Linked DNA regions of Cricetulus griseus. Each later gene encodes a partner of the first gene's protein in a complex. Links are inferred from orthologs where the notes say so. Each region holds a gene or a part of one and is shown in the gene's direction. Other genes may lie near its edges.

Region 1 (4,319 bases):
CTAGTCTACTTGGTGAGTTCCAAGTTCCAGTGAGAGACCTTGTCTCAAAAAGCTTGTCTCAAAAAACAAGGTGGGTACTGAAGAAGTAGCTAATTTGCTATACAAATATGACAACTGGAATTCAGGTACAAGTACCTACGTCTATACCACAAGTATAGGGCTGTCCACCTGTAACCTCAGTCCTTGAAGGTGGAGACAGGGATCCCCAGGAAAAATTGCCTAACTAACAATCTGAGTCAGTGAACTTTGAGTTCAGAGAGAGACCCTGCCTCAATACATAAAGTAGAGATGACCAAGGAAAACATCCAGCACAAACTTCTGGTCTCTACATGTATGTGGGCACATGTATGCACCCCTCATCACACACATATACCACAATACACAAAAGGAAGAAAGAGTGAAAGAGAAAGGGAAAGAAAGAAAGAAAGAAAGAAAGAAAGAAAGAAAGAATGTTGATGGATAGTGTCTTAGTGTTTCTGTTGCTGTGAAGAGACACCATGACAATGGCAACTCTTATAAAGGAAAACATTTAATTAGGATGGCTTACAGTTTCAGAGGTTTAGTCCATTATCATCATGGTAATGTGCAGGCAGACATGGTGCTGGAGAAGGAACTGAGAATCCTCTATCTTGATCTGCAGGCATCAGAGGAGTCTATGTCCACACTGAGGGTAGCTTGAGCATAGAAGACCTCAAAGCCCACCCCCATGGTGACATACTTCCTTCAAGACCACACTTACTCCAGCAAGGCCATACCTCCTAATAGTGCCACTTCCTATGAGTGTATTTACATTCATGCTACCACAGTTTGCTCCTGAGAAATAACTTCCAGGTTTGACTTCTATCTTCCACATGCATGCACATGCACACACCTGCACACTCAGGAATACTCTCTCTCCCCCTACCTCAAAACTTGTGCTTCTGGATGATAAGGCACTGCCAAACTCCCTGAATGGAATCCAGAGCCAAGAGCCAAGTGTTCTCTGAAGGGGACATAAGATGAAGAGGACAAGAAGCACCTTCTTGTACACAGGCTGGGAATGTGGCTCACACATCCAGCTATTCAGAGCTGTTTCTGGAGCCAAGCTCCAGTCAAGATACTTGGGGACAGGACAGGATGACAAACTCACACAGCTCCTGTTCTTCAGGGGATCCACAATGGCAGGCTGTGGGGCTGACATTCTTTTTTTTCTTCTACAGGCTACAGGGAGCTGCTGACCTGGGATGTCGGTGTTCCGGTTGGTAAGGATGGTACTTACTGTGGAAGTTTCCCAAGGCTCAGTCAATCATCACTTTCAAGGAAAGAAGAGAGTCAAAGAGACCCCAGAAGGCAACTGGGGACTGTGGTTGAGGACTAGGAAGGGTTCTAATACTGGAAGAAAGTAATCATGGCTAATATTTACATCTCTGCCAAGTGGCCACTTGTGCACAGAAATTCCTCACTTGTATTTTGGGATTTAGAAGGGAGGTTACTGAGATGGGAGACAGCTCAGTCAGTAAAATGTTTGCCTTGTAAGCATGAGTATCTGAGGTTGATACCCCAGAGCCTACCTTGAAAAAAAAGAAGAGAATAAAAGAAAGGGGGGGGGGAGCAAGGTATGTTTGGTATTTGCTTGTAATCCTAGCTCTGAGGCTGTTGTCAGCCAACCTAGTTGAGTCTGTTAGTACCAGTCTGTGAGAGATCTGAGCTCAAAAAATGTGGTGGACAGCCCTGAGGAGCAGCAGCTGAGATTCTCCTCTGGCCTCCACATGCATGCACGCACACATACATCCACCTCTGCCCATACACTTTACACGCTTGGGGCAGGAATGGGGAGTTCCCATTTGTTGTCTTGTATGGAGCTTCCAAGAGCTTGCTCCGGGATAACAGGGTAGGAATAAGCCTGGGCCTGGGTAACCCTTGTTCTGTCCACTCTGTAAATGTCTATGTTTGTGTGGCTTGGCTAGGTAATGACTCCGTGTGTAGGAGGTGGAGTGAGAGCTTGTTAATTGTTTGAATCCAGAAACACAGAAAATGCTAGAGCCTGAGAATAATTCAAAAGTAAAACAGAGAAGGAGTGTGCTTTTATTCTCAGGTACTGTGAAGTTCAGATCTCAAGTAAACTGTGTATAGCTGAGCCCCTCACGTGACATAGAGAGATGGCTTATTTTTTTTTATTTTTTATTTTTTTTGCCTCAGAGGACAGTGATATGCAATACTACCTTAATAAAAGAAAGCTTAATTCAAACTACATACTTAGGGCAATGTACTACATTAGTATTACCAGTGTACACACTGTTAAACTATATGGCTTTGTAAGTAACCAGGTAAACCTTTTAGAAAATACAAGGTACTCTTTATATGGTACAGAGTGGTGTCATTACCGTGCTTCTGGTTTTGAATGAGTGTAAGTAGCCAATAGAGAGAAGCAGCAGATACATAGCAAGCATCATCCAATTGATGGTTATAGCATCCAGAAGATTGCAGCTGAGGAAGCCCTGACAAAACCATGACTCTGGAGTTAAAAGAACTTAGAAAGGGATGACATTGTCCTGGGAGGGTCAAATAAAAGCCAAAGCACCCAGGACTCAATGGGGTAGGTGTAAGCAGACAGACAACATGGAGCAAAGGGACAGACTATTCTACCTAAGGGAGAGGTAAACAGGCTTAGAGGTAACAAGCAGACCAAGCAGGCACAAAGGGTGAGCATCTCCTGGATCTCCAGCTTTCCCATGCGGGCTGACTTCTTTTTGTACCCAGCTATTGTAGCTGCCCCTAGCAGCAGCTTGTCTGGCACCAGCAATCTCTTTTAGATTTTGGCTGGGCCTGTGCCTCCCCAAGTTTTTCCTGAGTTGCTCACAGAAACTTTCCAAGCCTGGACATCTCTAAGTGTCAGGTCCTGTTGGTGCTGGCTAGTGTTGAAAGCACGTGGCTAGGAACACTCTTAAATCCTCTCTAGAAACCAATAAATATGTGGTGTAAAATAATGCCTCATAATTAAAACAAACATAATCATCAACAAAAACAAAGAAAAGCCACCATGAAGGTCTGGCATTTCCTCTTTAGTCTGATATGAAAATACCTTGACTCTACCACTCTGGAATACAGCCTGTGTTGAAGTCTCCTCTGGGCCTCCCATTTCCTTGATCCCAGTAGTCATCAGAACAGTGAAAATCAAAAAGTAAAGAAAACAATTAGGGAAGAGCACTGGGATATGTGACTGAATGCCTGTGGTACAGGAAATTCTAGGGGTGTAGTGATCCCTGGAGGGCCATTGGTAACCAAGAAGCTTTATGGGTGCCACCCATGTGGTACATTAACCAAGATAGCAGTAAAGTCACATGGTGGTCAGCATCTTAATGATACCACTAACCAAGATGGTGACCAAGTCACATGGCTATCTCCATCTTGATGAGATCACCAGCCAAGATAGTGACAAAGGAACATGTTTGCTTTTTTCTTATGGTGCAATAGAGGTTTCTCCAACTCCAATAACCAATAAGACTCTCACCCCCCACTTGAACTGAAAAACTCACTGACTCAGCTAGTCTAGCTAGGCAGCTTGCTCTGGGATCACATGTCCTTGCCTCCTGAGCACTGAGATTATAGGCAGACTGCCATGTAGGCACTAAGGATTGGAACTACAGTACTCATGCTTGTGTGGCAAGCTCTTTGCCCATTGAACCATTGTCCCTGACCTCAACCCACTCTTATCAAAGTTTTCTGAGAAATTATTGCCAAACAATTTCGTTGGGTAAACATAATGGAGTGCATTTGTACAAATGAAGATAGCTACTATAACTAGATGGTATAATGGGACCACCATTGTGTATGTGTCCATTAGTGACCTAATTGTTCTTACGTTACCTAAGATCATATGTGAGATTTCCTTTGCTGTATTTTTTAATTGCCTTTTGTCTGTGTGATAGTTGATATTGGTTGTCAACTTGATAGGATCTATGCCCTAGTTTGCTTTTCTGTTGCTGAAATAGACATCATGACCCAAGCATGTTGGGGGAGAAAGGGTTTATTTGGCTTACAGGTTACAGTTTATCATCAAGGGAAAACATGACAGAAAGCTCAAGACAGGAACCTAAGGCAGAAACTGAACCAGAGACCATGGGAAATTTTTACTTAGGTCTTCCTCCCCATGTCTAACTAAATTGCTTTCATATACAACCCAACATAGGGCTAAACCCTCCCACATCAATCATTAGTTAGGAAAATACCCCATAGATAGTTCCACTGGCCAATTTGATGGAGGCAATTCCTCAAGTGGGTTCTCTCTTTCAAGATAATTAGTTTATGTCAAGTTGACAAAAATAACTGGTATAATTTAG
Region 2 (3,813 bases), on another chromosome or scaffold:
CACCTGACAGGTCCCACCCAGCACCCATGCTCTGCAAGACTCCCCTGGGTGTGATGCTCCAGGACTCACTATCTGGAGCACAGGTGTCACAGAAAAACGAGCTGCAAGGGGTGGTTCAGAGACGCAAAACTCCAAAGATGACAAGGCAGGGAGGAGTGCAAGAAAGTCCCTACAGAGGGGCTGCTTCTGGCTTCTGCGAGCAGGTGACTGTAGGTGGAGTTTTCTGTCCCAGCAGTCACTTCTCAAATAACCAACACAGAGGCTTAATAGCAGTTGTAAATGCTCGGCCAGTAGCTCAGGCTTGTTACTAGCTAACTCTTACATTTAAATTAACCCTCATTTCTTATCTCTGCTTTGCCATGTGGCTTGGTGCCTTTTCTCAGCACGGCAGGCCCATCTTGCTTCTCCCTGAATCTGCTCTCCTCACGCCACCATTCTTCCTTCCAGAATGCTCATTTTGGCTGTCCCACCTAACCTTTCCCTGTTCAGCTATTGGCCAGTCAGATTCTTTATTAAGCCAATCAGAGTAATACATGTTCACAGTGTAGAGAAGGGTTATTCCACAGCGGGTGACTTCTAGACAGAGACCTGGATAGCATGGAGCCTGCCAGGAGAATCTCCAGGGAAGGAATGTTCCAGGTTTGGGAACAGCACATGCAAAGTGAGTGATGAGGCTGGCCTCAGAGGCTGAGGGTAGGTAGAGGCTGGGGAGCGGCAGAGACTGCTGAGGGCCACAGAAACTGTTTGGACCATATTCTGGGAAGAATGGGGAACTTCCAGGAGCTAAGAGTGTGGAAGTCTGACACAGGCTGTGGGCTATAGGGTACTGAGCAGTGGAGAGGCTCAGTCAGGCTGGGTTCTAGCATGTTCTTTCACTGTGGTCTTGGGAGATTGTATAAATCAGCTCTGGGGGTATGAGACTGTGCAGGGAGGAGTTTCCATACCAGGGTTATTTGGGGGAAAGGGCACTGCCCCATCTTTTATTTTTGCTGTTTTGTTTTTCGAGACTGGCTGTCTTGGAGCTCACTCTAGACCAGGCTGGCCTTGAACTCAGAGATCTGCCTATCCCTGCCTCCTGAGTGCTGGGATTAAAGGTGTACACCACCACCTGGCTGCCTGTCCTAATTGTCTAATGCCTCCCCTGAAGGCCCAGCCCAGGGCTGGGATGGGATGGACACACAGGTGAAAAGTCCTTTTTTACAGACCCTGCCAGTCGGCTCCGTGGTGTTCTCTGTGCTGGCTTTGGACAAGGACACTGGGCCAGCAGGTTTAGTGAGGTACTACATAGAGAAGGTGAGTGTTGTAAATCGCTGGGTCCCCCAGGTGGGAGCCAGCATCCCTGTGCCTCGTGTCCACCAGGGGGCAGCATCCTCAAGGCAATCATAGCTCTGGCTCCGCCCCCCCACCTTTCTGACCACCCCATCACCCTCTGCTTTCTTCCCCACCCCGACGCCTCCCTCCACAGGGAAATCTCACTTTGCCCAGTTGCTGGAGGAGGGTCCAGTCCTCCCCCCCACCAGCCTCTCGCATGCTGAAGCATCCACAGCTCCCAGAGAGATCAAGGCTAGAGAGGCCTGGATCTTGCCAAAGCTCACCCAGACAATCAAAACACAAGTGTTTTGTGATGGCTGGTTTGCTAGAGATCCCACCACTACTTGAACACCAACTAAAAACTTACTTTCAACCCACCGTAGCAATTATATCAGCCAAGGGGAGAAACCAGGGTTCAGAGAGATTACAAGGCTTGGAAACATTGGCATTTCTAGCCAATGGAAGAGCCCGTATTTGGCCCTATGTCTCTCAGAGGAGGGTGTATGAACAGGTGTCACCCAAGTAGCCTCTGTTGTAGGTGATCCCCAGCAATGATGACAGCAAGAATCTTTTCTACATTCTGCAAAATGGCTCCATTGTGTTGAATGAAAGCCTGAGCTACAACAACAAGAGTGCCTTCTACCAGCTGCAGCTGAAGGCCTGTGTGAGTGCCCGTGTAACCAGAGCTAGGGGGCTCAGAGTTGTGGCACTGGCTCACAGGAGACCTTCTCGCCCACAGGACTCAGGCGGTGAGTGGAATAACAGCCAAGTCACCCTGTGCTCCCAGCCAGTCTTCCTGTCCATCTCAGTGGTTGATGAGCCGGACCTGGACCCCCAGTTCGTCAGGGAGTTTTACTCAGCCTCTGTGGCTGAGGATGCGGCCTTGGTATGTGCTGGGGACTGTGAGGGTGCAGGATAGCAGTGAGTGTCTAAGCAAAGGGTCAAATGCACTCATCAAACCTCCTCCCAGGGAACCTCAGTGCTGAAGGTGGAGGCCGTGGATGCTGACAAAGGCGTCAATGACAATGTGACCTACAGCATCACCAGTGAGAAGCAGGGTGTCCCCCGGAGGGCTGGGGTAAGGGTGGGGTGGTCAGAGCCCCTGGAAGAGCTGCTGCAAGTACCTCCCTATCAGACTCCACAAGGCCCGGATGGTTCAGCATCGAGAAAGATGGCGTCATCACGGTCAGCGGCGCCCTGGACAGAGAGCAGCTGCTGAATGACAATGGAGAAGTGCACATACAAGTGGCCGTGAGTGAGGCTCCTCTCTCTAACCCTTGCCCTTAGACCTCGCTCTCTGAGTATTGGTCTCTAACCCTTGACCTTAGACCTCGCTCTCTGAGTATTGGTCTCTAACCCTTGACCTTAGACCTCGCTCTCTGAGTATTGGTCTCTAACCCTTGACCTTAGACCTCGCTCTCTGAGTATTGGTCTCTAACCCTTGCCCTTAGACCTCGCTCTCTGAGTATTGGTCTCTAACCCTTGCCCTTAGACCTCGCTCTCTGAGTATTGGTCTCTAACCCTTGCCCTTAGACCTCGCTCTCTGAGTATTGGTCTCTGCCCCCTGCCTTCTGTTTTGTACCTCAGGCCACTGAGGGGCATCGTAACATCTACGGGCAAGAGGCCAAGGCAACTATCTGGGTCACAATAAGGGTGACAGATGTCAATGACCACAAGCCAGAATTTTACAACTGCAGCCTCCCAAACTGCTCCTTCAGCCCCCAAGAGGCCCAAGACAACTTCACAGGCTACGTGGATGAGCACACCTCTGCCCGAATCCCCATCGATTTCCTGACCATGGTGGCCTATGATCCAGATCAGGCAGGTGCACGGGAGGGGGAGCACCGCTGGAGAAGGGATGGGGGGGAGGGGTCACAGATGGGAGAAGGGGGTAGTGAAGGGGGAGGGAAAGAGAGTGGTGATGACTGGAGTTGAGACGGGCAGTGGATTACAGAGTATGCAGGATGATGGGTGGCGTCCACGGGGAACAAACGTAGAAATACGATGGTAAGGACGGTGGCGCCGATCCGGGAGTCGTGCAAAGTGGAGGTTGGTGCGTGCTGTCTGGCGACGTTCAGGGGAATACTGGGTGGTGCTGAGCAGAAGCAGTGTGGAATGGAGGTTGATATTGGGTGCTAGGCAACAGTGAGTGGCTGGGACACGGGGACACTGGTGCTGTTGGCTCTGGCTGGCCTGTGGTTTGGGGAAGTGGGTGTTTAAAGTGATCTGACTGATCAGCTTGGAAGGAACCACCACAGCGATGACGGGCGAGGGAACAGGCTGGGATGGGGTGGGAATATTATAGGGGTGGGGGGAGTGTGGCTTATGTCTCTAGCCCTGGGGACCCACAGTGCCTTGGGCAGTCTTCAACTGCCCAGGCTGCATTTACAGAGCTGAATAGCCAGCCCAACTTCCTGAGCCTGGATTATTGTCTAGGTCTTTCCTGACTCCCTCTGTGGGTCTCACTGGGCAGGGCTTCTGCAGAAAGCCTGAGCTTGACAA

What was found.
Region 2: Myo7b (region 1) and Cdhr2 share a complex: the UniProt entries of both Homo sapiens proteins name them as parts of the IMAC/intermicrovillar adhesion complex. The link is inferred for Cricetulus griseus from reciprocal best matches to the Homo sapiens genes MYO7B and CDHR2.

Annotation. Positions count from the first base shown.
Region 1 is NC_048595.1:205,350,468-205,354,786, forward strand, and holds the start of Myo7b (unconventional myosin-VIIb), read left to right. Parts: upstream 1-1,223; coding exon 1,224-1,241; intron 1,242-4,319. UniProt on the Homo sapiens protein: Myosins are actin-based motor molecules with ATPase activity. Their highly divergent tails are presumed to bind to membranous compartments, which would be moved relative to actin filaments.
Region 2 is NC_048596.1:273,734,693-273,738,505, forward strand, and holds part of Cdhr2 (cadherin-related family member 2), read left to right. Parts: intron 1-1,203; coding exon 1,204-1,293; intron 1,294-1,849; coding exon 1,850-1,975; intron 1,976-2,050; coding exon 2,051-2,197; intron 2,198-2,281; coding exon 2,282-2,357; intron 2,358-2,446; coding exon 2,447-2,562; intron 2,563-2,898; coding exon 2,899-3,132; intron 3,133-3,813. UniProt on the Homo sapiens protein: Intermicrovillar adhesion molecule that forms, via its extracellular domain, calcium-dependent heterophilic complexes with CDHR5 on adjacent microvilli. Thereby, controls the packing of microvilli at the apical membrane of epithelial cells.